Daphnia pulex: one gene and its partners. The main gene of each other region encodes a partner of the protein of the gene in region 7 in a complex. Links are inferred from orthologs where the notes say so. Each region holds a gene or a part of one and is shown on either strand. Other genes may lie near its edges. The genes, in order: mediator of RNA polymerase II transcription subunit 19-like, cyclin-C-like, mediator of RNA polymerase II transcription subunit 24-like, mediator of RNA polymerase II transcription subunit 20-like, mediator of RNA polymerase II transcription subunit 21-like, mediator of RNA polymerase II transcription subunit 31-A-like and mediator of RNA polymerase II transcription subunit 4-like.

Region 1 (3,767 bases), on a different chromosome or scaffold from region 7:
ATACTCATCAGAAGAATATGTGGAATGAGGTTTAGAGAACTTTGCATTTTAACATTCCTCTTATTAGTTTTGAAACTTAACTTGCCAAGAATTTAAATATGTTAAATAGAAAACTAAGAATGCAACATTTAGTTAGAAGCATTATGATGCTGTATTTCTTTAGATTGTCAACAGGTTAATGCAAATATGGGAAGAGAATAATCTTCAGTGATGAAAATAAAAATTACATCAGATCAGCCAATTGGTAACAAACAGCTTCCATGTTTTGATTGATCTTGTCTTGAACCACAGCCAATTCTTTCTTCAAGTGATGCACTTCACGCATGAGAATGTCATTTTCAGCATCCTCAATATGTTGCATGTCTTGCAACTCTTGTTTAGCCAATTGCAATCGAGCCATCTAAACAGAAAATCAACAAGTTTAATAAATCTTTAAATCTTAATCTTTAATAATTTTTTACCAGTTCCAGCTGCCTTTTCTCATAATCCTGCACTTTGATAACATGCAATGTCAGTTCAGGCTGCATGTTTCTCAATTGGCACTCAATTTTAATTATTTCTTCTGAGATTCGCTTAAAGTCTTGAGTTATGTCTTGAACAAGTGTACGAAACTGGATAAAGTCATAATTTGGTCCAGTGCTCAGATAAATCTTATGCCCTCTGGAAAGAAACAATACATGCAAAAATTACCTCATGTGAAATTTTTTAAATAACATTGTAACTCACTCATGAAAAATCTTGTAGGTGTGGACCCTTTCCTCTTGCAATTGCTGGAATTTCCTCAAAAGGCCATAAGCTGTGACTCCATCCATGTTGAGAATTATAATTTTACTAACGTGTAACGAACAAAACGGAATGAACGATCTAGGTAAAGAAAAGATACGAATTGTATTGTATATTTAAAAGGAAATAAGCCTAGGTTATACAAATAATTACCTTTGGAGAAACAGAGTTCTTATTATCACGGTTGCGAAGGTAGGTTTTCTATCCTCGTAACATCACGACTTGTGGTTCCAGAATAAAGAGGACGACTATATTTTAAGGGTGACGACCCGGTCCTTTCATCAACGCCCCTAGGGTCAATTCTGAGACAGACAAAAAAAGGGCTGGGTTACTGGGTTGGAAAAGCTGAGTCTGGCCTTTAAAAAACCCTCTACAATACACTAGGGAGTATGAGATAAGGATTTTTTAAAAAACAGCCTCTGCCTTCAGCCAGTTTTCTGACTTTTCTTGAGACTATTGAAGGACGCCGAACTCGAATTCGAAAGTTGAATTCGACCTCTGGCTAGATAGATATTTTTTGATAACATGAATAATAAAATATACATCAACAGTTTGATACTATTACCAGACGGAAATTGAAAAAAATTGTGATTAAACTCACCATTAAATCACACGAGGCGGACACAAAACTATCTACCCTAGCAACTGCCACTGAGTCTAAACCTCGTGTGACTTTTTGACTTTTGAAAGCGTGCTCTCGCCAACTTGGCCAATTCAAGTCCTCGGGCAAAAATATTTGCATAGAGGAGCATCTAGTTATATCTTTTGGGTACAGGTGGCGCTGGTGTTTCGTTATGCTTTTTCGCTGCTGTGTTTACTCTGTCAATTGTCATTTTTGGCATCCAACATTTGCCTGAATAATTTATTAATATCTATAATTACTACGATATATCGGATTCGACCAAGGTCAGTCTAGTCGGATACGGAGATTTTACAAGCGATGACCTCATACTAACGAGTAAAAAGGGTAAAAGTTTTTGACAAAAAATGTCGGAATCATTCACCATCCAAGTGGCCGATTCTCTTCGGAGATTTGAGCCGAATTCTCCAAGATCTTCTCCAAGAGGAAATCGAAGCCCAGTTGTTCCCAGGCAACAAGATTCCACTGGAACACTGAAAACCACCATATCACTTGGAAAGACCCCAACAATTGTTCATACCGGACCATTTTATCTTCACAAGGAACTGCCAGGTATACATATTTTACGTGACTGTATCATTCTTTCACTCAAGGTAAATCTATCGCAGGAGATACTGACCTAACCGGAGCAACAAATTTAATGGCTCACTACAATTTGGAACATTCATACAACAAATTCAGTGGCAAAAAGTTCAAAGATTCGCTATCTTCATTCTTACCTGGATTACCCGGCATGATTGATACTCCTGGTAACACAGACAATTCATCCTTAAGATCCATCATTGAAAAACCTCCAATCGGTGGCAAGGAGTTGGTATTCTTGAATTCCTCTCAACTTGCAGGATTCCGTCTTCATCCAGGACCAGTAAGAGACTTTTAGACAGCAAATCACATAATTGTTATTTTAATTTTCACATCTTTATTTCATAGTTGCCTGAGCAGTATCAAACCTCTTCCCTGGCCCCACTGAAGAAAAAACAGAAACACAAGAAACACAAAAAGAGTAGCGAGATCTCAATTCAAGAAACTGGAGCTGGAATCGCTGGACCGGGCATTGGAGTAGTAGGAGAGGGAGGAGCCGGTTCGGGCGGTGAATCCTACGAAAAAAAGCATAAGAAACAAAAGCGACACGAAGATGAGAAAGATCGCAAGAAGAAGAAGAAGGAGAAGAAGAAAAAGAAACAGAAGCACAGTCCAGAACACCCAGGAGCATCAGCCTCAATCGGTACTACAAATTCAAACAGTAACCCACCTGGAATGATGCCCTTACTTTGAGAAACCTTCTTGTCACGTCGATTTATTTCGAATTTTTTCTGCTTCTTTCGAGAGTATAAATAAAATTCCATTCAATGAGTGAATTTTGGTTTATTATTATTCATTCTTTCAAATATTTTCTTCTAAATCGGAGTTTGAAAGCTATAGCGTTGGCTTGCCCGAAAACAATGATAAGCACGTCACGATAGCTACACGCAAGTCACAATCGCTCAAATGATATGATCAATAGGGTAAAACAACTTTATATTCATTAATTACAAATACTAACAGTGAATGTTCGAACGCAAATTTGTCAACTGCTGTTGGTTCAAATTTCTTGATGAACCGTACCATGACTAGATAATTATTATTGCGACGACTCGTACGACAAAACGAACGAGTAATCATTTAAGTACAACAACTAAAAGTAACAAGCGAATCAAGTGATGTCCGGTGTGTGTTGCTTGGTCGATTGATGATGAGCTTTCAAGTCGGCTCAACCTTTTTACGCTGTTCGCTTCCGGCGGCCACGTAAGAAAACACGCAGAGAACAGCGTAACAAATCTGATCCGCCTGTTTTGTTTAAAAGAACAAAAAAAGGTTGATTAATATAATAACAAATGATTCAACAGAAGACACAGCAAAAGAAAAATAAATAAATAAAAAGCAGGTCAAATAGCAAAACGAAACTTGCCTTTGACCGGATCACAACAAAGAAACAGAATAAGTGGATTGCAGACCGTCTTTATCAAACTGAAAGTTTAATCCACTCAACAAGACTGTTGAATGGCCATAGACACGCGGACAGAAAAGACACGATGGATTGCTAATGCTATCTCGTTGGCCTAAACGGTAGCGTGCAGGTATAAAGGTTAAAAATCAGGCAAACAGAAAAATAAATGAAAAAAAGGAATAAACATTTTTCAATTAATGAAATAATAAGGCATGCAAAGAAAGCGGAAGTGAATTGACAATTACCATAGCTGACTGATATCGGCGCTGAAGTATTTGTCTCGTTTTTGGATCTGGTGGAAAAGAATCGGAATGTTAGCAATGAAAAATTGTAGTAATCTATCAAATGATGTATTTT
Region 2 (4,023 bases), on a different chromosome or scaffold from region 7:
CTTTTTCGGTTCTTTTCAGTGCCTACCATGGAAAAACAATTCTTGTTGCACAGGAAACACGACAGTTCATGCTCATGGAGGGAAAATGTATGGCTTCAACTACAACCACTGTCCCAACAGAAAAATGTCGAGCAAATGTCTAGAACATTTTGTTCAGGATTTATGCTTTTATGAATGCTCACCTAATGTTGGACCATGGATGCAAACGGTGGGTTCCATGAAACTCATGGAAAAAATGTGTTCTCTCTTTAACATGCTTATGCAAGCTATAGGAATATAGTCAGTTCATTTTTCCTAAAGATTCACTCTGAAAACAATAGGCAGAATTAATTTTCTCAGCTGTTACATAATAAATAAGACATTGTTGTCTGTAAGCTTTGTAATTTTAGAAACACAGATCCACCTAGAGGCCTAGATGCTAGTTTTATATAACCAGCAGCATTTGTTTTGAATGTTTTAAACTTGTAGAAAATAATTGTATATTTTCTTTTTTATCTAGGTAAACATGAAAATGCGCAGAGAAAGATTCTTGGACGTGCCTCTTTGCGCCACTGATTGTGATGATTGGTTCAATGCTTGCAAGGATGATTACACATGTACAGACAATTGGACATTAAACTTCAAATGGATTAATGGGACCAATCACTGCCGACCTGAATCCGAATGTCGCACCTTTTCCGATATCTTTCAAAACTCATCTAATTTTTGTGAAAGGGTAAACAGTATTAACATTCTCCCTAGAATTTTGATTACATTTTTATTTTCTAAAAGGTTTGGGATCATTCATGGAAGTATACCAATAATTCAGAGCCCTGCATGCGTATTTGGTTTGACGGTGATCAAGGCAATCCTAACGAAAATATTGCACGATGGAAAATCCAACAAAGTAACAGCGCGGAAACGTTTTCAACGAAGCCGCTTACATACGTACTCCCCGCCTTGATGTTGTTTCTAAACTACTAGAATAGAGAAATTGCGTTCTCATTTTCATTGTAAAAGAAAGCATGTATTAAATAGTTGATCATAACACAGTTTTTTTTGTGTTTTTCAGTTTATAAAATGAGAATGATAATGATAATCAATTTGTCACACCCATGGACTGGTCATTTGTGCCCTGTATTCCATCCTGTGATTGTGCTGACGAGGGAGGCCTACATAGTTATCACAGTGTATTAAACAATTTTAAAATTTTATTCTTTGCAATGTGATCAAATAAGAAAGAATTGGGATCTAAATAGGAAATTGAATATCCTACCGACTTGGCTGCGTTTTGGGTTTAGGCATTTTGGCCAACAAACCCTGAATTTCTTTTTTCTCGTCGTAGGTCTTGTAGAGATCGTACAGAGCCAGAATTTGACGCGTTATTTCTTGAATTTTATCCGTATCGACGGCAATTTCCGCAAACCAATTTTTCCCGTCTTTCTGAAGCACAACACAAGCCATTTGCATGGCAGCTAATACAGAAGAAAAGAAAGAAATAAATGAAGTAGAGTTCACATGATAAAAGACAAAAATAATTCAAGCTAACCCAATGCAATTTGGTAAGGGGGGTACAGAAGAGATATATCAGTTCTTAGGCTATCATTGACTATTTTCCATGACAATCCAAGAAGATCTTCTTGCCCAATGTCTTGAACAAATTGGACAAGTGGTCTGTGTGGAAATTTCAAATGAAAACATTATTACATTATGCTTTAAATTTTCTCAGAAACAGTTGATCACCTGTAAGGTTGGTAAACAACTAGACAGCAATCCATGTTTTCCAATAAATAAAATTCACACTCAAGGATGTGTTGTGCTCTGTAGGGAAACTCTTGAGGATAGGCATAGTTGAACTTTGACTTGACTGTTTAAGAAGTTGATTGAATCACAATAACAAATTTTGTCTTATGAAAAGATCACATACCAACTGATTGACATGTTGTGATTAATCTGTTGTTCGAAATTACACCAAACTCTTCGACTTTTGAAGCCAACAGAATGCATGTGGGGGCAAGTAGCAGTGGATCAATGCATTTCAAGGAATTCCTGGCATAAAACCGCTTGAAGTAAACTGTGGCAGTCGCTATGACTTGTTGTTTGAGTTTCAAATGCTCACCAAGAACCTGGATGACTAACATGAGAAAGACACTTTTATTATTCAACATTTAGGAGATGATTCCATAGTTAATATAAACTTACAGTTACTAAAGAAGATGAAGAGTTTTTGATAGTCTTCCTCCGTGACGATGGCGAAATCCCCTTGGCGTTCTCGAACCAAATCAGAAGGGTCTAGTAGCCACTGCTGACTAATAATAAAGTGAGTAATTAAATGTGAATCAAAACGTTAGACAAATAAAAACTAACCAATGCGAGCTTTGCCAGAAATTCCCAGCCATACTCTGCGGCCGAGGTTTAACTTGTTTACTGTGTGTAAACGATGCTCGACACTGTTAGGTTAGACGACGTAAGGCGGCGCTTATTAAAATGTCGCCGTGCCCGGATTTTCTAACATGGAAGCCTTTTCGCACCCGAGCACGCCAATAAACGAAAGAAAAGAAAACATCGTGATTTACTGATTTAGTGATTTGTGAACGATCGTATTCGTGATTTTGTTCTGTTTTTTTTAAAGTTTTATTAGCGTTCAACAAAACAAAACATTGCATTCCATTTGGTTTTAATTAATTAATTGTAAACTTATGACTTACTGTATGACTGTTTTTGAGTGATTAGGATGATGACGCAATGAGTTACTTTGGTTCGACGTAAATAAACATGATTTAATATTTTTGAGACTCATTACACAGCGTATTTGTTTACATATTATTGTCGCCTAACGAAACGTTCATAACACAATGTTTGTTACATTTTACAAAGTTACAAACGATCCATGAATAATTGAGTATGTAAATTTGGCTACTAAACACGAAGGAATTTGACCACTTGTCCGTTTTACAACAACGAGAATCATGAGTACATCAGGCCGAAAAGAAATGCGTTGCAAAAAAATAAGAAAATACAAAATGCGGAATGGACCATTGAGTAAGAAAACAGAGATGATACAAAATATGTGTGGGCTATATGACGATATGGACAGTCAGAGAGAGTTTGAATCCCGTGGCATCGGCACGAACGAAAAATACAATCAACATTCAATGGAGCCTATACACAAGACATGAAAATATTTTAATATCATCAACACAACCGATGGGGGGAAAAAATCATGTGACATATCTCCCGCATCAGTCAACAGCAACGATGGACAGGCCAAGAAGCAGAGGCATCCTGCATGAATAAAGAGTGTAGCCCCCGTGAGAATTGACTTGAACGATTCTTGGCATGCGTCCGGCGTAACGTGAAAAAACAAAAACTATTTCAAAACGTGCCGTCGTGAATTTTTACAAGTCCGTGACTTGTTGCTGATCCGGCGGGATCGTTCGTTGTAGGTAGTCGTCGTTGGAGAGGTCGGTGGAGTTGATTTGCCACTCGATAGGTGGCAGCTCCAGCTGATAGATTTTACTGAGTCGCTGTCGATCGTGCGGCTGGATGGATCCAGCTCTCGATCCGATTCCGGTGGCCATTTCCACCGAGCTGAGCGAGCGCTCCATCGCCCACTTGGAGCAGGGGACGTAGCGGAGCAAACGGGCGAAAGCCAGTCGGAAATCGCGGTTCTTCCATCCGTAAATAAATGGATTCAGGGCTGATTTCCCGAAATACAAAATCATGACAACCTGCCGAAAACAAACGGCAACATTGAGGAAAAGAGTTGCGTGTCGGTTACACAACAACAGCTCGGATAAAGAAAATTAAACTGTTTAGCATGTTTAGATCCGGGTTGAGCCGGTTGTAAAATTATCACGGTTTTTTCCCTATTGTTATACATGTTGTTTACAGGGGATTTTAAATTTTGCCACGCACCCATCTAAACGTAACAAATTCAAAACTGAGAGCGAATTTGAACGAAATGTCGTAATTTGAGAAAAAACCCCAAAACAAATCAAATAAAAAATATATTTTTTAAATTCCTTGACTGCTATTAAAATT
Region 3 (4,815 bases), on a different chromosome or scaffold from region 7:
TTTAATAACTGCCTGCGAGACACAAAGAAAGGACATTCAATCGCATACCCATACCTGCTAGGCTTGTCTAGGATAAAGTTCTTTGATTAAGTACCTTGACCAAAGAAGTGACCAACCATGTTGCTCCACCAATTTTGAATAGTTGATCAATACCCACTGTTGTGCTATGGTCTGACCAACCATGATTTAAAATCTTATTCCATAATTTGGTTAACTGATGATCCAAACTTTGATCTTGATTCTCTGAGACGCTTTGTAGGGGATTGTCGTCTTGTGCCAGACGCCGAATGATTTGCAGCATCAATACTGACCTTAATGGAAAAAAGAATTTTATAGTGAACGCGAAAAATCATTTGTTAGGGCATTATCGTAATTTACCTTTCCCTATAATGCTCTTTAGAGTCATCAAGATTCAGGGAAGTCATCAAATGATCGAGCATGCTCGTGGGCTTACTTTTCAGATTTGCTGGTTGTACCTAAAGGAGATGTCCACCGTATTTTAATTCGAATCTTTTTGATTTTTTTTTAATTGGATCTTTTCTTACTTGGATGTAAAATCGAAGCCAAGCGGCAGCACAAACAGACAGACAGCACATTTGAGTCCGTAAAGTATCGAGAATCCTTTCAACTTCTTCATCAGAAACTAATTGTGATTCGTAAGCCCCCAAAATTTCCCGTATTACAGCAGGGACGTGGAAACAAGCTTCGTGCCATCGAACGCTCCTATGAATAGAAATGGGCTTATTATTTTTCAAGAAAAAAATGGCGAGATTATTTTACCCTGATCTAAGGTCACTCTCTCCAGATGTCAAGGCTTTCAATAACTGATCAGTCAACATGGGATCGCAGCGACTTAATGACAAATCAGGCGCCTGATTAGGTTTCAGCCATTCTGAAGCCCACTGCTCAAAGAAAGTCTCCCCTCCTAGTTCACCACTCAGTATCACCTATCGATCATTAGAACAAGTAACATCAGAAGGCATTCAGGTGTGAATTATTAGATGATTTTCATTACCTCAATGCCGTACATTTGCGTAATACGGCAGAGCATTAGAAATGAGATGTCAAAGAGTAGAGCCCTTGCATTTGCAGTTTTACTTGGATCGGAACCAGCAGGTTGGCGATTCGCTTCGTTAAATCGCACGAGTTTTGTGGCAAAAGCTCGGAGTTTACCAGTCCCAGTTGCAGCGTTCAGTATGAGTTCGAAGCTTTGCCCCGAAAGCAAATGAGATAAAACTTTCAACAGCGTGTCCTAAAATGAAGATGTTATTACTTGCTCTACGTAATTCTCTACATTTTCCTTGATTACCTGATTTTTAGCGTAATCAGTATCCAACGTTTTCAGAATACTGGCCACCGTTGGCTCAGCACGAAGAACCAAAGTAGCTATTTGTGTGTTAGTGGTCTCTAACTTCAGACCTCCGCGGGATAGACTTTCTCTTTTGCTGAGGATGCTTGTAACATGCCATTCAGATAAAAGAGATGTCCGTATTTTCACTTCATTTAATAAACCTTCGACGACATTGCAATGGCATTTGGCATCGGTTGTTTCTAAAAGTCCAGGATAGCAAAGAAGGCGCTCAAACGCACCCGCGACTTCCGGACTTGGTTCTCCAATAGGCGAATTTGGATCCAATCCTGGATAAACGAGAATTTAATAGAACAGTTTGAAATTTTAAAATATTGCTAATCGTACCAAAAATTGATCGATGAAGTCGGAGTAGTAATGACGGTGCCTTGAGGAAAGTGAATACAGCCCAACGTAGCTCTCCAGGAGAATCAGCAGTTTCGGCTAGTCCTAGGCAACACGCTCTGAGGATTTCGCAATAGAGCTGGGTGGGTGAATAGCCTCTTAGTTTCTGTAGAACTTCCAACTGTCGAGTCAACTCAAGGCCATCTGACGTGGGGCGAAGCAACGCCTCCCAAGATATTAATGTATGTACGTCTGTGCACAATGAGTTCTCGTAAAAGGGCTTTTCGGGACCATTTTCTTTGAATAGATCATTTTCAAATGATCGGCATTGCCTGTGGAGAATTTGTTTTAATGACCACTCATTGACGAAGAACATCAAATGAAGTACCTCATGACTTTTTCGACAGATTCCACAAGTTTTTCTGATGACGGATTCCCATTAGTAGTTAAATTTTTCAGGTTGGACTCAGTTTGGTTTACAAGCGATGTAAGATGAGTTGCTGAAAACTGATCATTAGTGCAGCAACGTGCAATGTATAGAAGAGATATTAAATAGTTCTCTTCATACAAAGTCCCCAGTAATCCTGTAGTATAATGGCAAATGACTGAATAGTCATTGGTTGCACTATTATTATCAAATAGTTTTTTTAGTCCATCAGACGTAAGACTCCAAAGCCAAGTTTCCAAAGACAATAGAGAAGCAGCTAAAGCAGCAGGCCCATCGCCAGATCCAGTACATGAAATATGTTTCTAATAAATAATATTGTTAAAACCATATCTCAATTTAAGACTGAATGGGAAAAGTTACTATTGATTGCTCCACCAAAAGTAGTAACTCCAAAAGGCATCTGGTTTTCTGGATACTACCTTGAAGGCAGATATTTTCGAAAACAGCACTGTAGGAAACAATCTAAAACACACAAATGGTATGCAATTAAATATTAACAAGCAAAACAAAATGTGTTTAGTAATTGAATTAAAGTTGTGGTTTTACTTGAACATGTAATGAATGCTGTAGATATGACAACAACTTTGAATTTGGAGATGGTCCGATCAAAGCCTGCTGTAAAATGCTTTCTGCTAGATTATATGTATCTCCAGTTGATCCTGCTGGTATTACCTTTATGTAAAGAAAGTTTAATTTAAAACTGGTAAAGATATTTTTTTTTGTTACGAAATTACAGTTAAAGTACCTCTTTGACATATATCCCCCACATGAGATCTGTCCAACGTTCCCTCCAAGCCTTCCTCATCAAGTGCTTGAGCTTTTGCTCTACACTTTCAGTCATCCTCTCGATTATAGAAATTTCAAGCTTAATAACCTAAAACACAATTTAACAAACATATGTTGAAGTACGCCACAATTATTCGTTAAATTCTGAAGGTGAGGTGAAATTTTTGAGTTTGTGGTTTGTAGAGGAGCGTTCAAAGCAGACGACACGGTATACCATAAACACCCCAGCGGTGAAAAGTGGAACTACAAATCATTTTGACATTTTCGCGTGGAATTCAAACTACCAGCAGCAACGAATCGACCAATTAGTGTTTTACGTGCTTAACAAACGATCCCCCACTTGAAGGCCAATCCGTGTTCGGTGTTTTCAGAACCAAATCAATTTGACAATTTTAGTATAAAACAAAATAAATCTATGTTAAAACTTTTAGTTTTAACATCGGTTTACGTAACAGAAAGAATTTGGTCGCGGTTAAATGGTACACGAATTTTGTATGTATTTACGGATAGCTTTCATAACATGTGCACAAGAAATTTACCAATAGAATTTGCAGTGACAGGGATAAATTGTATTTATTATATAAAGTACTATATAGTTGCAAGAGGAAGGTCGGAATGAGATTGCTTGTTAGTTGTGACGAATTAAACGGGTTGATCAAACCCGTTGCCGACGTCTCGTCGGTCTCCAGAAAAATCCCCACTTCCCATGCCAAAGTGTCGATCTTCGGAATTATCTCCACTACCGGCTTGATGATGATCTAACGAATCTCCACTTCCAACTTCTTGAGATGATTCATATTCGTCTGTTAGAGGAACAGAATTCACGTTCAACGAAGTCTTTTCCGTACTTGAAGGCTCAAATCCGCTGCCGCTGCTGTCCGTATTTGTTGTAGCTATTCATGTTTAATCAAAATAATTTCAGCCATGACCGTCCGTGTATGCGATGATCAAAATATTACGACTACACCTGGTGGTACTGGTAAAAAGTCACGTTCATCGATTTCCGTATCATCACTCTCGGGTAAATCAGAAGCGATAGAACTCATTTTCTTTTCCATATCCTCATATTTTTCTATCTCCATGTGAGTACCATGGTCTTTTCTAGCTTCCGCTTCTGCCTGTTGACTGCAAAAATAGATTTTTTAAATTTTATTTAAAAATAAATAAGAATGTAAAGACTGAAGAAATTGAGAAAGTAGAACAATCTCCGATTTCTCCTCTTGTTGGATATTTATACTGTGCATGTACCGGTCATTATATGATGAGATGAGAAGCCCGACAATGGTCACGGTGATGATAACAATAGCTAAAATAAGGGCCAGTGTCAGCAATACGATTCTTCTTCTCAAGAACATCCTGGTTGGTGTTGAGTTACTATTTAAGGTAGGCTGGTTCTCGTGGACTATAATTAACAAAAAAAAAAAAAATGGCGTGAGATGTCGTGCTCAACTGCGTTGGAAAATGACATGAATCAATCGACACTTTTATTTTGAATTGTGCGTCATTATTACGGTACTATTTTTTGTGTTTTAGTTTGATTATGAATTCGGGAAATGTTGCAGCGTTCTGAAAAGTGAAATATTTTTTGTTTTGCATACACGCAGAGAAAGTTGGAGAGCCGATGAAGAACTTAGCGCGTGCTAAAACTTGAAAGGTTTATTTTTTTTTATTTTTTTAACGCTTGAAAGAGTCTTGTTGACAGGAGTTGAGAGGGACTGAAGAGAGGTCAGTAATTGCGACTTGTTAACATGGAACCGCTTTGAAGCAGATGATTCGTTGTGTAGGCGATTTGACACACCGAAACAGTTAAAACCAATCTCATTTCTGTGTAGAGCACTTGTAGTTTACGTGCGTGTTTTTAAAAGTTAAGTTACCTAGCTTAGCTACT
Region 4 (4,512 bases), about 720 kb from region 7:
CGCTGCTATTCCAAACATGTAAACAGATCAAAAACAGACGCCGGCAAGAGAGAGAGAGTGTACACATAAACAACACACTTCAAGAGAGTGATTTCGTACGCCGTATAAACTGCTGTTAGACTATATATATATGTATACAGCCCTGCTGGAAATAGCATCCACCGTCGCTCTTTTACTTCTCTTATTACATCAGAAACTGTCGACTCCTCTGTGACCCCCCCGCAATCAAGTGGCACGACGTCGTCGGAGTCTCTTGTTTCATTCAAACCGAGAACGATATCAAAGCAGATGGAACACGACGGCATACACCGTGGAAATCTCCTTTGTGTCTAGTCAGCAATTTGAATTTTTGAAATGGGGGGAAAAAACCGCGCCATTTTTTAAATAATGTTCAAAAAATTCCGGGAAAAAATGAGGATAGCAAATGGCACTTGGTACACACACACACACACAACAGAGAACCCCTAATGGCCATCCATTGAGGTGATGATGTGTTTGTTTAGAAACGGGAAGCCCACAAAATCAACACAATAAAAGAAGAAGAAGAGAGAAAGTTGTCCTCTTGATTTTTCTTGTTGACTTAAAGTTTTTTAAAAAAAGCGCCCGGAAGAAAAGCGGGAAACTTTGAAAAAAAAGTCCAAAAAATACAAGAAGGGTCGAGTGTGTGTGCAAAGGTGGGCGACGGCGGTTTTTGAATCAACACGGTTAAAGAGAAAATAAAATAAAAAACATTTAGTTTTTTTTTCTTTTTCCAAAAGGATGGATAATAGAGTTGTACCCAAGTAACATAGAAAAACACCGGAGCGGCGGAGTTCTTTTTATTTTCTTTATTTGTATTTTTCCTTTTTTATTTTGTTGTAGCAATGGCGCGTTTTTGTTGTTGTTGTGTAAGGGCAAATAGAGTTGTTGTTTGTTGTGTTTGTCGATCTATCGGATGCCGGTGGTTTTGCGGAAAGCGTTGAACTGCTCCAGGTACTGATTGATGCCGTCGATAGTGCCCAGCATGTCGCCGAATCGGCTCTGATGGTCCGTCACGGAACAGAAAAAAGATTTATGCATCCAGGAAAAAAATAGAGAAAAAAATAAAAAAAATTTTGTTAGACGAATTGGAATAATAACAACATGACGAAAGGCAAACATCGTAAATTCTTATTTGATATTGATGGGGATGAAGAAGAAAAAAATAAAATAAAATTGTTTTGAGCCTATAGACGGGCAGCAGGAAGAAGGAGCAGACCTGGATGTACGGAGGCGGAGTAGATGGGACGCAACCGCCCAAGAAGCCCTGCATGAACTCGCGGATCAGATCCCAACAGGCGGCCGGCAGACTGCACGCTTGATATTCCACCTGTCAAAACGGATGGCAAAAGTTATCTCTCCGATAGAATCGATCGGGAAAACAAAAAAATTGTTTCTCATCCATATAAACAGACCCTGCAGACGTCGCTGGCTGGCTGTTGTTATTATTGTTGTTGCGAGTGTCAGCGGGAGTATATGAAATCAATATTCAGCCGAGTCAGAAAATGTTCGCCCCCAAAAACTCATTTGAAATTCCATGACATCTCAACAACAAAACCAAAAAATAAAATAAAACGAAACAAGGAGAAGATGAGAAGAGCCCATGACGTAACAACACAGACGGAGAATATCACGCGCCTTCCAGTTGTGCCGCGTTTTTCTTCTCTTTTCTTCTCTTCTTCTTCTTCAATGGAAAAAGAGAAATAAAAAGGCCCCGATGGTTGGATGGATGATCAATTGTTTTGTTCACAACATCAGCCCGCCCCAGCGCCAACACACTCGGCTCGTGTACGATAATAAGAGGCACCCAAAAGAGCGAGGAACTCTCTCGAGTCACGAATAATCAAAGAACCAAGAAAACCAAGAAAACGAGACAGAGTCTCTTTTCTTTCTCCCGTTTTTCACATCAACATTGACTCAGCCCTTCTCTCTCTGTGGCTCTATTCAAGCGTCCATCATCACAAATATTAGCCCAAACCCGTCAGAGCCAGCTCGTAGACTCGTAGTGATTTGATCATTTCAAATAATTAAATTTCTCCCACCCAACCCCACTTTTAATTCAATATTGACAAGCTCATTAACTGTCTGAAACCTTCCCGAGTGAAATGAAAAGAAAAAGAGGCGCTTGCATATTTAGTGCTGGATGACCGAAAACGGAAAAAAAGAACCATCACGCGGAGATTGTAAACACAGAAGAAGAAGAAGCTGGAAAAGCTCTAGCTCTAGCTCTCCCTCCACACACAGAGAAAACGGATGTTGTCAAAGGGTTTTCTTGTTTTTCAAGAGGCCAGAAAAAAGCCTCTCATCATTATTACCTTGTAGGGAAAGAAAAAGGGAGACAATCGACAGCGTCAAGTCGAGATAGAGATGGAAGTTTTTGATGTCGTTATTGTCTATGCACTAACGTGGGATATTGGTTGGTTGGTTGGGTTGCTGTTTAATGTATACCTCGACTAGGATGCCCTTGAAGGCCGGTCCCATGGTGACGGAGCCGAGCTTGACGAGGAAGTCTCCGGCTTCGAAGCGCGGCCCTCTCGATTCGATCTTGGTCTGCTTCTTGGCCGTGTAGAAATTGGAGAGCTTGAGCATGAGCAGGTCGAACAAGTTGTCGGCCACCAGGGCCACCGTCTTGTTGCCGCTGGCCGCCTCCAGCAGAGCGAACACGGAGGCCGGCGTCTCGGAATTGTGCAGCAAATGCACCGATCTCGGCGCTCCTGCCAAATGAAGAAACCAAAAGTTTAATGATTTTAAATAATAAAAAGAAAATGAATGATAAAAACACATTGGCGTTTAACCCTCCCACATCACAAGACATGAGAGAAATCAAATTTCCTACGAAAAAAAGAAATTGAGCCAGATTGGCAGTTTGCAAAAACAAGGGCGATAGACAAGTTGATGGCGTCATCAGTCAAGTCCCGCCGGATAATGATGATGGCGCCTAGCCCCCCGTCTGTCTCTTTCTCCTTTTTTTTCGGATTTTTTTCCATCTCGTCGGAGGATTTGGTTGGAAATGCTCGCAAATGGCAACTCGAAAAAGCTTGCGGGCAACTCTCCAACATGTCAGATAAACCACAAACAGCCGCAGCCTTCCGTCGCCCCCGTCTCTCTATTCCTCCTCTTCCTCCTCCGCTACCGACGACAACAACAACAACAACAACCCCCACGAAAAAAAGAACTAAAGCGCACGCCAAGTGTCGGGAGGAAACCTTGGGCATTAGGGAGAAAGAGAAAGAAGAAAACAATAACTATGCGCGCCAGTTGTTCTCAATCTTCAACGAGTGTGACGTCAAACCTCACCATCAACTTATCTCTTCTTCTTCTTTCTCTTTCCTCCTCTATTTCCACCCCCGACGGAGGGAGAAAGAAAGAAAAGAAAGAAAAAATCAAACAAAACAAGGAAACCACAAAAGCACGGAGTCGGTAGGCAGTCATGTGTGTTGTTGTGTTGTGTATAGCAGCTGGGCGGATCGGTAGCGCCCGTCCACTTGATATCTAGACGTGAAGCAGGTATATCTCTCTATATATTCGTGCATGTGGATATACATATAGCCAGAAGAAGAATATAAGAACAAGGATTCCTCTTCAGATTTTCCTGCCCACATTCTACCCATTAACTGCGTTGGTTATTTTCAAAATAGAAAATCAAAATAAAATGTTTTTTAAAAAATTGGAAGCTAAGAAAGAAGAGAAAGAAAAAAGAGCCATTTGAAAAAATACTGCTTCGAGATAAGACATCAAGTGGCTTCTACTTCTTCTGGGATTCTTTCCAGCCTCCCTCTGCTTTTTTTTCTTTGGTTGGAAATAAAAAATCAATTCTATTCCAATACGCTCTCTCATGACGCGGGAAACTTAAATTTTCAGTGTAATTCAAATGTCTTTTTTTTTGGGGGGGGGGGGGAAAGAGGAGGGAATTTCAAACGTGGAAGAGAAGGAACTCTGCGGGGAGGAGGAAATCACTGTGTGTGCGAGATTTTCTTCTTACTCCGACCGGAGCTGCTGCTGTTTTTTGGGATGGGGGATGTTGTTGTTGTTGTTGGACCCCGGCTGCAAAGTCTGCGTCTGTCTCTCACACGAGATGAGGCTGGAGAAAAACTTCTTCTTCTTCTTTAGGCCCAATCGGTTCGTGACACGCGATATCTCTCACGAACGATTCCCACACCACGTCGCAGAGTTAGATCAAGAGAGAGGCCCTGACCAATCTCAATCGAGTAGAGATCCCAAACACCCGACAAAAGGGCAACCAACCCAATGTGCTTTCTCGCTCACTTCTTCTTCTTCTTCTTCTTTTACAAGGAACTTGGTGATATTCCATCAGGCTCACATCATCCCCCCCGGTAATAGGATACATCTTCTTTTATTTCCTGGTGTGGTGGCTGCTGCTGCTGCCCTTTTCTGTGTTAAACCAAATCAATCCAGCTCGTGAATTATTCAACGCATTCCAATCAACTTATGGACGCTTCTTTTCTTCTTCTTCTACTTCATGTATAACCTCCT
Region 5 (3,153 bases), on a different chromosome or scaffold from region 7:
ATCCGTTCCCGTGTTGATTTGTCACGAACTTGGCCATCTAGCGGTCGAAATTCGCAACTTGCCAGGTCGTTTTGGTGAAATAACATGGGCAGAAAAAATGGATAGATACATAATCTTGGCATTTGTATTTCATGCCCTTCTAGTAAAGTGTCTGTATCATTTATTTATCATTTATTGTTGGAAAAGACAGGCAGAGATTTACAATAGAAGCCGGAAAAGAGAGGGAAAATGTGTGGCAACTCGGATTCACGGGACATAAAAGTGCAGACGATGTCAACATAAATATTATACGATGTCGTTGGACGATATCTCCTGCCTCTAGAATAAAAAGGACTCTGTGTATAGATGAAGAGATAGGCCGTGATGACATATTTATTGAACGGGTGTTATGAATGCTACTGCTGCTCGTCATTTATTGAGCAGCGCTCTGGCCAAGACGAAATCAATTGTTGTTAAAATGTCGACATTCCAAGGTGCCAAGGATCTTTTCGGCGGAATCATTGTGCGCTCGAGCGAAGAGCCACAAGAAAGGAACCGAATGGAGCAGCTTCTTAAAGGTGCAAATTTATTTTTATATATTAACACATCATTTGTTTTATGTAATAGTTGTTTTGTTTGTTTTTAGAATCTCTGCAAGTCTGGTCCACCACTGGAGTTCGTGGAGTCTGGTTTGAAGTGGAACCAACCTGTGCTGAATGGATTCCAGTACTAATTCAGGTAGTCAAAGAAGAATTATTGCTAGTCAAAACTGCACGAGCATTACCTTATTCATTTTCTTAGAATGGCTTTTCTTTCCATCACGCAAACCCAGAGTTGAGTGTGTTGCTCAAATGGTTGCCTTCTGACGAACCTTGTCAAGTGCCTAGTTATGCACACACAATGGTAGGCGCTGGAGCCATGGTTGTCAATGATAAGAATGAGATTCTTGTGGTTCAGGAAAGGTATTACAAAAGACCACACTGGAAACTCCCTGGTGGTTATGTAGATCCAGGTATGTATATTTAGACATCATTAACATTCAATCATTACCAATTATTAAATTTACAGGGGAAAGTATTGCTACTGCTGTCAAGAGGGAGGTGTTTGAGGAGACTGGTATTAAGACAGAGTTCGTTTCACTCGTTGCCGTGCGGCATTTGCAATCAAGAGAGAAGAATCCCAGTGCAAGGTTCGGCTGTTCAGACATTTATTTCGTGACTTATCTCAGACCTGTTGAAGGTAGCACAGAAATCAAAATGTGTCCTCGTGAGCTCAGCGACGCTTGTTGGATGCCGGTTAGTTTTCTAAATGTCAACATTTTCAATTATTCCTAGTCTGTGTAATTGAATTTTAAATATTTTAGCTGAAAGAATATGCGACTCATCCGCTTGCCTTCGAAGTTGGGAAAATCTTTGCTACACAGTTAATGGCGATTGCCGATGGCGATAATCCCGCAATCAACTGCCTGGAATCTATCCATCAATTGACTAATAGCAATAGCCAAATTTACTTAGTTGAAGGAAAACAAAATTTTAAACTGTAATGTGTTCAGGATCACGTTCTAGTATTTTGTTTTAGTGCCTGTTACGGGAATCAGATAACGCATTATATTTAGCTTGAATTGTTGTTTTAACAAATTATATATGCAGATCGGTAAATTACTGCCCAGTTCCTGTAATCATCAGAATGTAGAATTAATTTCACAATACAGGTTGTGAATGTTTAAATTTGGCATTGAAGTTATCAGATTCATCGCTAGGTGGCGTAATAGCCGGCACATCTGCTTTTCTCATCTCTGCATTTCCATCAACAATGGCTGATCGTTTGACACAACTCCAAGACGCTATAAATGCGGTATTTATAACTGATTGCATTGACGAAATTGCCAAGTGTATCGTCTCAAATTCGTGGTTTAATTCTCTGTTTCTAGCAAGCTGATAATTTCTGCAATGCCATCGGTATTTTGCAACAAACCGCCCCACCGGCTACATTCCCAGGTTTCGATCGAGCAGGCAATCGAACACCTCAACAACAACAAGAAGATCACGCTTCTCTTTTTGCCACATTGATTGCCCGCTGCGCCAAAGATATTGACGTCCTAATCGATTCACTACCCAGTGAAGATTCTACCTCCGAACTGCAGGTATAAACTTGGTTCTATTAGTATTCTGTCGGTGCAATGTTCTACGAAGTTGACTAAAATTAATTCAATCGCTGCAGATTGCAAGTCTCAGAAGGCTGGAGAATGAAAATGAAAGTGCCGCTGCACGATTGAGGGAGGTTGTCAGCGAAGGAGAGCTGATGCTCGAGAAAATTCAGAATGCACTTCACGACATTGCACAGACCCAACTGGCCATGCAGAGCACAGGTCCAAATTCCTAAATCCAACCATTATTTGCTCTAGTTCCCTATTTTTGATATTTAAAAGAAGAAAATGAAACAAACAATTTGCTCTGCAAGAATTTCGTTTCATTTCTGGTTTCCGCCACAACATCAATTTTAAATCTGTTCTTTTCAAAATCATATTGAGTGAACATTCTTGTCACACACAGGTGAGGCAAGTCATTTCAGGAAGGAAGGAAGATGGGGTGACAGATTGTAAAAGAAACTGTTTGAAAAGGATTCCAACCTTTTATATATCCACTTCTTTTTTTGTCTTCCTTTAGAAAACCCAAAATGGAAAGAAGGGGGGAGAGAAGTTGCTGTTCACTCGTAAGAAGAGAAAGAACACGCGGTCCGTTTGTTTAGGAATGGCGTGCAACAAAAAAAAAGAGGAGGGGGGAGCGGGAGGAGGAGAAAAAAAAAACGATAGAATGTTGTTTAGCTTTTTATTTTTTAAAAAAGAAGAAGTAGAAAAAATTCTCCCGTGTGTATAAATATAGTGCTGCCATCTTCTCCGACCCCTTTCGGCGATCTCCGGTCGTTCGGTAAGAAGGGGGAAAAATAAAGGGGGTTGGAAGTGGGTGGCGTTCAGTCTCCCCACTTCCTTTTTTTTTCTCTCTCCCTCCCCAACCCTTTTTTGATGCAACAACAGTGTCTGCGTTCAGCGATTATGTCTTTGGAGAAGATTACGTTTGGCAGAATTTCAGGTGAGTTTGAACAATTTGTTTTCTTATTTCACGAATTTTCCAGGGTAAATTTTGATGTTGCTCAGGATAAATATGAGATAACTGG
Region 6 (3,188 bases), on a different chromosome or scaffold from region 7:
TCTTTACTACGGCTGCATTCTGTTTAGATCGTCGTCAAGCGCCACTTGCTCGGTCTACACACGTCAAGAATGGCTGATATGCTGAACATTTCGCTGGTAAACGAATTGAATTATGAAGATTTCATCAGTCGATTCGGTAATGTAGTTGAACATTGTTCAATTTGCGCGGCGGCAATTTGGCGTAATCGCCCATTTCGTGACGTTCATCATCTCCACCAAGAAATTTGCTCGTTTTTGGACCTCCTTCCGGACACAGGTTAGAACTATTTAGTTACAGGCTGCTTGAATGCTTATTTATAGCCAATCAATTGAACATTTGTTTTCTCATTTGATAGGTAAAGAGGGGGTGCTAAGACTTCACCCTGATTTGGCTGGCAGGCTAGCTGAACTTGGCAGCCTAACACAGGAGAGTACTGCTGAACAGAAAGCTGCTGGTTTAGACACAATGACACCTGGTGAAAAACAACTGCTAGGAGAGACCAACATCAAGTATGACAAATTACTGTTCTATAACTATATAGTAACTAATGAGCTGTGTCTTTTGGGCTATTATTTTAATAGATACAGAGAAAAGTTTGGATTTCCTTTTGTTATCTGTGCCAGGCAGAACAAGAAGGAAGCAATCTTGAAAGGAATAGTTGAGAGATTGGAACACTCAGCTGCTGAAGAACTAAACATTGGGATTGAAGAAGTGAAGAAAATCTGCCTTTTGAGGTTGTTGAGTATAGTAACTGATGACAAATCTCGTAATATGTAGAGATTTTCCACTCGCTCCCATCAGTTGAGGTCAACAGCAGCTATTCCATTCTAAACATTCTCACTCAAAACAAGTCTTCCAAAACATATGTGTTGTTAACATTTTGTCTGGTAGTTTGCAAAAACTCAACACAAAATACAGCAATTTACAAAAATTTGTCTATATTGTCTTGCATATACTTGCCCAATATAAGAGAAGTTTAAAAAGTTCCTTAAACAATAATTATCATGAATCAAACACTTTTCTGGGGTGTTGGCTCATTCTGAACAGTCATCATGTGCTTCTCAGCTTGACTTTGAAGAAGACGAACCCTCTTTCTAGTGTAATGTTGCCAGTGAAGGATTTGTTGATCATCAATGAAGCGAGCACACTGGCCATTCACAACCTCCTTTCTGAAATGCTCATATTGAAGCAAGTCTAGGAAATGCAAACACATTGGGTACCTGGAAAATAATGAAATTGTAATTTCTAGTTAGGGTAAATTGCAAGTGAATTGGTGTACTTCAAATATTTTGCATAAGCAGGCTCCTTCCAATACTGTAAATACTTGATGTAGTTGACAAACGCCGGATCCTTAAAATAGCCACGTTGAGCAAGGACTAGTGTAAACAAGGCATAATGAAAGTGTTGATTTTAAAAATAGACCAAATACTTACAGTGCAGATAATTTGGATTTGCGAAACATTGCACAAATTCTAGTTCCACCTGAAATCGAATCCTTTGTTGTTCATCAGTTTCTACCCATCGGAAAAAGGAATAATAACATAGCAATGAGAATCTGTATTGAAAACGACTACACTTCACGATATATTTACCTCTGGTGCTCATTGCGAAGCAAACAACGAAATAACGTAGTTTGCTTCAACAGTTTTGGAAATCTAGAAACGAGGCAACCGGACAGAATGGAAACGTCAGACAACAACTTGAAATGGAAATTGGAAAGCGTCAACTTTTGCAATTTGTCGTCTGCTTGATCAATTGATGCCATCTAGAAAGAAATCGAGAAAATATTAAAAATTGAATTAACTTAAAAAAATTTTTACAAAATAAAAAAAAAATTAAAACGATTTCAAATTTCATGCCCACAATTTATTAATGTGTGTGGTGGCCTTATCACACAGTTTGATTTCCGAATTTGGATAACATTTTGCGGTTGCGCTGCGCCGTAGGACCCTAATAAACCATGAAGCCGCAGCTGATAGGCTAGACGGCTAGACTATACTAACTTCAGTTTGCACCGTGAGTTATTTTATTTTCCTGTAGGAGGTAAGATCAATAGAAGAATTTAGATGGAATATGGAGTTGAAAAACAAAAATACCAAAATAAAAAAGTCAAATCAGAAAAATTATGAATTCAGCAGGAAAGGCGAACGGAAAAATAAAAAGATGGAATATATTACCGTGTGATTTCCAGTTGTTTCACATATGCGACATTCTACGCCTCCGTTACTATTTTATCGTCCTTTTCCAGAACGGAAATATTTGAAAGTAGGCTAATCAAAAATATTCAACCCAAACGAAATCTGTTGAAATTTTTCTTTGACTTTTGTTCTTATTTTCGCCACTTTTGATCGGATATCCGGTGCGGGGGCGATAGCATTCTACCATGTATAGGTCAGAAATATCATCTTAAAGTGTCATATCTACTCCGTGTATACGTGACATCCGGATAATGCACGCGGCCGTGAGGGCGGTGTATCATGTCTGAGTGCATATTCACGTATTGTACATGTGGTAGGTCTATACTACGTAGCCATCCTCCTGCGCACTCGGCGGATGTATAATGGTTGGTTCTCACCTACGGCCCCGAGTTTTCCGGTAGACCATGCGACAATCAAGAGGATGAACGTATCAATCTTAATTCCCTGGTATTATCTAATAATCGTGCTTGAAATTCCACTCTTCTATGATTATAAGTTCAATCAGCAAAGTGACGTGATTGGAGTAACAAATAGATTCAACGCGGATTTCTGCCGTCGGTCCGGGATAAATGATGGAGTAATATTCCATCATTGATAGCACAGAATTCAGTAGAGCGTAGGTAGCAACAGGTGGCGTGACATGACAAAAATGATCCAGCTGTTGCTGAGGCAGTGTGGGCTTTTATCAATCACCTGCCGCTTATTGCCTGACCCATATCAGCCTTTTTTTTTTTTACCTGAGGAGTTTCAAATTTTCGTGGAAAAGATTCTCATTACATTTCCCCGCCATATTAATAACGCTTTTGCCACTAGGTAGACGAACCGGTGGGCGGTGGCACGTGCGACGGACAATGCCCAAAAACTGACTCCGCCTCGTCTCTATACTTTCGGCAACTGTTGTGATGTTAACCTGCCGTTGAAGGCAATTACAGCAAGCCCCCGATTCCATTTGCGTCACGTCGCCGAGTATATAGCAGTCGACGCAGAGAGGGGGGGGGGAAACAAAAAAT
Region 7 (4,094 bases):
TAATCTGGTTCCTCACTCGAAGCTGTATGGAATTGATTCAGCTACCACTGAACCAGCAGCCCTGGAGCTGGGGTGCATTGTAAATAATGTGAAGCACATGGTTGTTTGTGGACACTCAGATTGCAAGGTCAGTCAACCATAAACTTGTTAAATGATAACATAAACATAATGACACACAACTTTTGTTTCAGGCTATGAACCTATTGTATAGTTTTAAAAAAGGAATTGAAACCAACATGAGAACTCTCGAGAGATCTCCACTTAAAGCTTGGCTTCATCGCCATGGTAGTATTTCTCTAACTAAATTTGAGAGGTTAGAAGTGCATGGTTTCCAACAGCCCTTGACTTTCCCAATGGAGGGACCATTCAGACAATTTGTTGCCTACATAGACCCTGACAATAAATTTAGTCTAACAGATAAGCTCTCACAGGTAGAATTATGCCAAGTTATGTAATGTCTACAAATCTAATTGGGTTATCTTTTTTCAGCTCAACACATTGCAACAACTACAGCATATTGCCAGTTATAGCTTCATTCAAAGTGCCATAAATTCGGGGCGAGTACACCTTCACGCGTATGTATCATGTATCAAACGTTTACTCGTAAGTGTTTAATGTTGAAATTTATGATACTAGGTTATGGTTCGACATCTATACCGGAGACATCTACGTCTTTAGCCGCAAGCAAAAACGGTTTGTGGAGATAAGCGAAGAGACATCCGATTATTTGCTCGATGAAATACGCGAATACTTTGTGTGACCTTAACCGACGTGCCTCGGGTTATTATGCTGAAGAATATATGGAAATCTAGGTATTTTTATAGAGATGACGCACATCTCCTGAATTTATATGGGGAGTTCGATTCTAAAGCTATTTTGTAAATAGTGAGAAGTTAACTATAAAATAAATTGTTGCATAACTTTATAATGGAAAAGAATTTGAACAATTCGAAAAAGGAATTGCACAAATATTTATCTATTTTACGAACCTTTGAATGAGGAAGGTTTTCAAAAAGAAATGCGAAAGTAGAATAGTATACAGGATGGTTACCAACAATATTAAGCAATCGCGCAGGATACAGAGTGTAAATTGTTAGCTCACGTGTTTACTGAGAATCGGAAGATGAACTGCTACTCGAGTCCGTAGACATAACGTCGACATCTTCATTCTCTTTCTTGGGATTTTTGTGATCCATTCCACCACTCACACCCAAGTGTGAAACTGACAAACAGGGCATTTGCAGGTCATTTTGAGATAACCAACTATAAGTGCCTGCTTGAGAATTCGGAACTGAAGACCCCTGCTGCAAAGAATGATTAGGACGATGCAAAAGTTCTGGAAAACTCATGTGTCCATTGACATTCATTTCACCAAGACGGCCCAAAAATCCTAGCCGCATTTCAATATCTGAAAACCACCACAAAACAACATGAAACTACTGGACAGCAATTTAAAAAAAAATTTCTACCCGTGGGATATGGTCTGCGTAAATCTCCTTGCTGCCAATTCAAAGGAGCACAAACAGCGTTGGAAGCCGATATTCTGTGAGCAAATTTTATCAACTCTTCGGAATTTACAGGTCTGTTATTCGCCCGTGTGATTGATTGCAACTTTTGCTTAGCTTGAAAGATTGCAGTAGCCTGAAAAAGAGTAAGTTTATGAAATACTAAAACCAACAAAATAATTAAAAATAGCTTACTAATAGCTGCTCTGCCTCCTTAAGCTGCTTTTGAAGATTTCGAATCTCAACATCATGCCTTTCAACTTCTGTCTCTAAGGCAACTACTTTTTGTTGTAATACACCTTGTTCTTCAGCCAACTTAATAAAAGAAAGAATTAGCATTGAAAAAAATTATGAAAAACAAATAATTTTACCTTAAGTGTTGCCTTAAGATCAGTGTCTTTTTGAAGAACCAATTCAACAAGTTGAGAGTGTTCAGTACTCATAGGTTTCTGCTGCTTCTGGGCTATTAAGTTGTCCAAAAGTTCCCTAATAAATTAAAAAGATTAAGTTTAGTACAGTGACAATTATATTTTGGAAGATTAAAATTCAATAATCAAATTCAAAACAGTGTATGATACAAACGAGTGTGACAAAGTGTTCTGAATTTCAGGTAAACAATGGTATGATTACCTAATAAGATAAATAAATATATCATGCTAATGAACAATAGATAGATCTGAGGCTTTAACTTTCATTAAAAAAATTTTGAAGGAAGAACAATTGCACTACGTGATCAAAATAGTCGACGAACAAAGGCAGCCAAATCAAGAAAAACTTACTTTGCGATGATTTCGATATCGTCGATGCAAGTAAGCAATACTTCTCTGGTACTTTTTTGAGAAGTCATGTCTAGTTATTTTTATTCCTTTTTATAGAAATAGTTATAAAAACAGGTAAGTGAAACTTTCCAATCAAAATTAGTTTTTCTTGAATGCGGCTCGGCTACGGCTGCAACAACAACTAGAGAAGTGAGGTTGCCATATCTAGATTTAACCTGACCACGTATTTTTTTAAATTTCCTTATCCTTTATTTATGGATTCATTCGGAGTCGAATCACCGCTCTACAACGTGATTTCGTTAAAAGAAACTAAAAAATATAATAGTAATGAGATATGTTTGAAGTGTATAATAATGCAACACTGGCGACGATTTATGAATCGAATTTCGTAAACATAAACAGACAGCAGGAATCCGCTGTTCCGCTCTTGATCGTCTGACCCGCCCAAAGTTTTCCGAGCAATTTCTCAAAAACAAACTCCGGAAAGAGTGAAAAGACATTCATTTGTTTGCTTGGGTGAGTATATAGTCCAGCAATTCGACTTTAGAATCTCCAGTTATGAGGACTTTAAAACACATTTTGTGTTACAGATTCTTGGTTCAGTTCCTGTCTACAAGAATGTCGAATGACAAGTCTGTCAAAGTTAAGGTTGGAGAAGAAGAACGAGTATCGCAAAGTTTATGCGGTTGTTCGGTCGGAAAATTTTGGAAATGGAAGTACAGTGTCCATAAACAATGAGCAGAAAAAACAACTAGGTATAGAAGGAGACTATCATGCCGGGCATATCATTGCCAAAATGCTTGGAGGATCGGGATCGGACGTAAATAATCTCGTCCCCATGCACAAAAATTTCAACAACAGTGCCTACAAATCTTTCGAATTTGAAGTCCGCAAGATGATTGAGGATTCTGAAAAATTTTACCCCGGAAAACAAGTAGAAGCTCGTATCACTGTTTCCTTATTTTACAATCAAGGTTCCAATAAACCATATCGAATCAAGTATGATGTTGCCATGTACGCTAACGGCGTAGAAAAGCCGAGTTACGTTGGAGATTTCAAACTGAATGAAAATGGACGACACTAATTTAAATCGAGGAAATTTTTGCTTTGACGCTTTTTGCAGAGCTATAACTCTGGCTTTTTGTAACCAATAAACATTTTTCAATGTTGAATGCGTAATCAGGCGCCGCGCAATGTATTTTTTTTACAAGAAAGCAGATTTTAGTACGTACAAGAGTGCTTTTACAGCCATCTGGCAACCGTTTTCGTTACTAACCTACCTAGTGTCTTCTGCAGTGGTTGATTTGTTGACGTTTATTGCTCGAAAATTCTCCAACCCACTAACATTTACTCGTTTAGTAATCAAATTTCAAAATGTCTTCTCCCTCGGTGAATACTTCATTGACTTCGTCCCCACAGAAAGAAAGAGACAGCAAAGAAAGAGAAAATCCAGATGAAAACTATGATCAGGTAATTTTCTTCTTTTAAGTTACATTAAATCTTAAGTAATTTCCAGCTGAAAGTTTTGCTGGTACATATAACATATTGCTGGTGGAAATTTTTGTATTTAAATTTGTTTTAATGCTTTACTGTTCATTTAATTTCTAAATGTTTCAATTTCTAGTTTGATGATGATGAACCTGATTTGCATTATGGATCCACTTCATCAGGCAGAAAGCGCCTCTTCAGCAAGGAACTTCGTTGCATGATGTTTGGATTTGGTGATGATCAAAATCCCTATACAGAAAGTGTTGATCTGCTGGAAGACCTTGTTATTGAATACATCACTGAAACGGTAGGACTAATACCT

Evidence for each region.
Region 1: mediator of RNA polymerase II transcription subunit 4-like (region 7) and mediator of RNA polymerase II transcription subunit 19-like share a complex: the UniProt entries of both Homo sapiens proteins name them as parts of the mediator complex. The link is inferred for Daphnia pulex from reciprocal best matches to the Homo sapiens genes MED4 and MED19.
Region 2: mediator of RNA polymerase II transcription subunit 4-like (region 7) and cyclin-C-like share a complex: the UniProt entries of both Homo sapiens proteins name them as parts of the mediator complex. The link is inferred for Daphnia pulex from reciprocal best matches to the Homo sapiens genes MED4 and CCNC.
Region 3: mediator of RNA polymerase II transcription subunit 4-like (region 7) and mediator of RNA polymerase II transcription subunit 24-like share a complex: the UniProt entries of both Homo sapiens proteins name them as parts of the mediator complex. The link is inferred for Daphnia pulex from reciprocal best matches to the Homo sapiens genes MED4 and MED24.
Region 4: mediator of RNA polymerase II transcription subunit 4-like (region 7) and mediator of RNA polymerase II transcription subunit 20-like share a complex: the UniProt entries of both Homo sapiens proteins name them as parts of the mediator complex. The link is inferred for Daphnia pulex from reciprocal best matches to the Homo sapiens genes MED4 and MED20.
Region 5: mediator of RNA polymerase II transcription subunit 4-like (region 7) and mediator of RNA polymerase II transcription subunit 21-like share a complex: the UniProt entries of both Homo sapiens proteins name them as parts of the mediator complex. The link is inferred for Daphnia pulex from reciprocal best matches to the Homo sapiens genes MED4 and MED21.
Region 6: the proteins of mediator of RNA polymerase II transcription subunit 4-like (region 7) and mediator of RNA polymerase II transcription subunit 31-A-like are in contact, whole or in part, in a cryo-EM structure (PDB 8TRH), measured with the Homo sapiens proteins. The link is inferred for Daphnia pulex from reciprocal best matches to the Homo sapiens genes MED4 and MED31. Residues at the interface, in NP_054885.1 of Homo sapiens: Glu147, Tyr151, Arg154, Ile155, Asn159, Ala160, Val161, Cys162, Ala163, Pro164, Trp167, Arg173, Arg174, Pro175, Tyr176, Pro177, Met182, Leu186; in NP_057144.1 of Homo sapiens: Gln19, Glu23, Gln26, Cys27, Ala29, Asn30, Pro31, Ala64, Lys65, Tyr66, Leu67, Lys68, Tyr69, Pro70, Gln71, Asp98, Ile102, Trp105, Gln106, Tyr108, Ser109.

The regions. Positions count from the first base shown.
Region 1 is NC_060023.1:10,280,086-10,283,852, forward strand, and holds mediator of RNA polymerase II transcription subunit 19-like, read left to right. Parts: upstream 1-1,553; 5' UTR 1,554-1,770; coding exon 1,771-1,975; intron 1,976-2,016; coding exon 2,017-2,288; intron 2,289-2,353; coding exon 2,354-2,698; 3' UTR 2,699-2,781; downstream 2,782-3,767. Other genes in the region: required for excision 1-B domain-containing protein-like, read right to left, coding at 224-400, 462-660, 727-812; MAP kinase-activating death domain protein-like, read right to left, coding at 3,164-3,250, 3,656-3,702. UniProt on the Homo sapiens protein: Component of the Mediator complex, a coactivator involved in the regulated transcription of nearly all RNA polymerase II-dependent genes.
Region 2 is NC_060017.1:5,572,119-5,576,141, forward strand, and holds cyclin-C-like, read right to left. Parts: upstream 2,507-4,023; 5' UTR 2,379-2,506; coding exon 2,347-2,378; intron 2,289-2,346; coding exon 2,182-2,288; intron 2,114-2,181; coding exon 1,907-2,113; intron 1,847-1,906; coding exon 1,723-1,846; intron 1,654-1,722; coding exon 1,529-1,653; intron 1,455-1,528; coding exon 1,256-1,454; intron 1,152-1,255; coding exon 1,079-1,151; 3' UTR 985-1,078; downstream 1-984. Other genes in the region: folate receptor alpha-like, read left to right, coding at 20-208, 500-715, 772-963; adenosine receptor A2b-like, read right to left, coding at 3,378-3,710. UniProt on the Homo sapiens protein: Component of the Mediator complex, a coactivator involved in regulated gene transcription of nearly all RNA polymerase II-dependent genes.
Region 3 is NC_060019.1:9,366,301-9,371,115, forward strand, and holds the start of mediator of RNA polymerase II transcription subunit 24-like, read right to left. Parts: upstream 3,175-4,815; 5' UTR 2,983-3,174; coding exon 2,887-2,982; intron 2,814-2,886; coding exon 2,688-2,813; intron 2,604-2,687; coding exon 2,502-2,603; intron 2,444-2,501; coding exon 2,082-2,443; intron 2,026-2,081; coding exon 1,697-2,025; intron 1,639-1,696; coding exon 1,310-1,638; intron 1,253-1,309; coding exon 1,016-1,252; intron 948-1,015; coding exon 781-947; intron 724-780; coding exon 546-723; intron 477-545; coding exon 379-476; intron 312-378; coding exon 95-311; intron 13-94; coding exon 1-12. UniProt on the Homo sapiens protein: Component of the Mediator complex, a coactivator involved in the regulated transcription of nearly all RNA polymerase II-dependent genes.
Region 4 is NC_060026.1:11,659,533-11,664,044, forward strand, and holds the end of mediator of RNA polymerase II transcription subunit 20-like, read right to left. Parts: intron 2,733-4,512; coding exon 2,467-2,732; intron 1,349-2,466; coding exon 1,238-1,348; intron 1,021-1,237; coding exon 928-1,020; 3' UTR 923-927; downstream 1-922. UniProt on the Homo sapiens protein: Component of the Mediator complex, a coactivator involved in the regulated transcription of nearly all RNA polymerase II-dependent genes.
Region 5 is NC_060027.1:1,945,922-1,949,074, reverse strand, and holds mediator of RNA polymerase II transcription subunit 21-like, read left to right. Parts: upstream 1-1,698; 5' UTR 1,699-1,791; coding exon 1,792-1,833; intron 1,834-1,909; coding exon 1,910-2,122; intron 2,123-2,199; coding exon 2,200-2,361; 3' UTR 2,362-2,438; downstream 2,439-3,153. Other genes in the region: nudix hydrolase 8-like, read left to right, coding at 389-557, 626-717, 781-991, 1,048-1,274, 1,343-1,522. UniProt on the Homo sapiens protein: Component of the Mediator complex, a coactivator involved in the regulated transcription of nearly all RNA polymerase II-dependent genes.
Region 6 is NC_060024.1:13,244,834-13,248,021, forward strand, and holds mediator of RNA polymerase II transcription subunit 31-A-like, read right to left. Parts: upstream 1,727-3,188; 5' UTR 1,586-1,726; coding exon 1,573-1,585; intron 1,495-1,572; coding exon 1,414-1,494; intron 1,357-1,413; coding exon 1,260-1,356; intron 1,201-1,259; coding exon 990-1,200; 3' UTR 902-989; downstream 1-901. Other genes in the region: 2-oxo-4-hydroxy-4-carboxy-5-ureidoimidazoline decarboxylase-like, read left to right, coding at 70-256, 336-489, 562-757. UniProt on the Homo sapiens protein: Component of the Mediator complex, a coactivator involved in the regulated transcription of nearly all RNA polymerase II-dependent genes.
Region 7 is NC_060026.1:12,376,230-12,380,323, forward strand, and holds mediator of RNA polymerase II transcription subunit 4-like, read right to left. Parts: upstream 2,477-4,094; 5' UTR 2,353-2,476; coding exon 2,285-2,352; intron 1,992-2,284; coding exon 1,877-1,991; intron 1,821-1,876; coding exon 1,701-1,820; intron 1,642-1,700; coding exon 1,470-1,641; intron 1,409-1,469; coding exon 1,107-1,408; 3' UTR 961-1,106; downstream 1-960. Other genes in the region: beta carbonic anhydrase 1-like, read left to right, coding at 1-127, 192-431, 490-575, 637-760; transcription initiation factor TFIID subunit 13-like, read left to right, coding at 3,659-3,754, 3,909-4,079. UniProt on the Homo sapiens protein: Component of the Mediator complex, a coactivator involved in the regulated transcription of nearly all RNA polymerase II-dependent genes.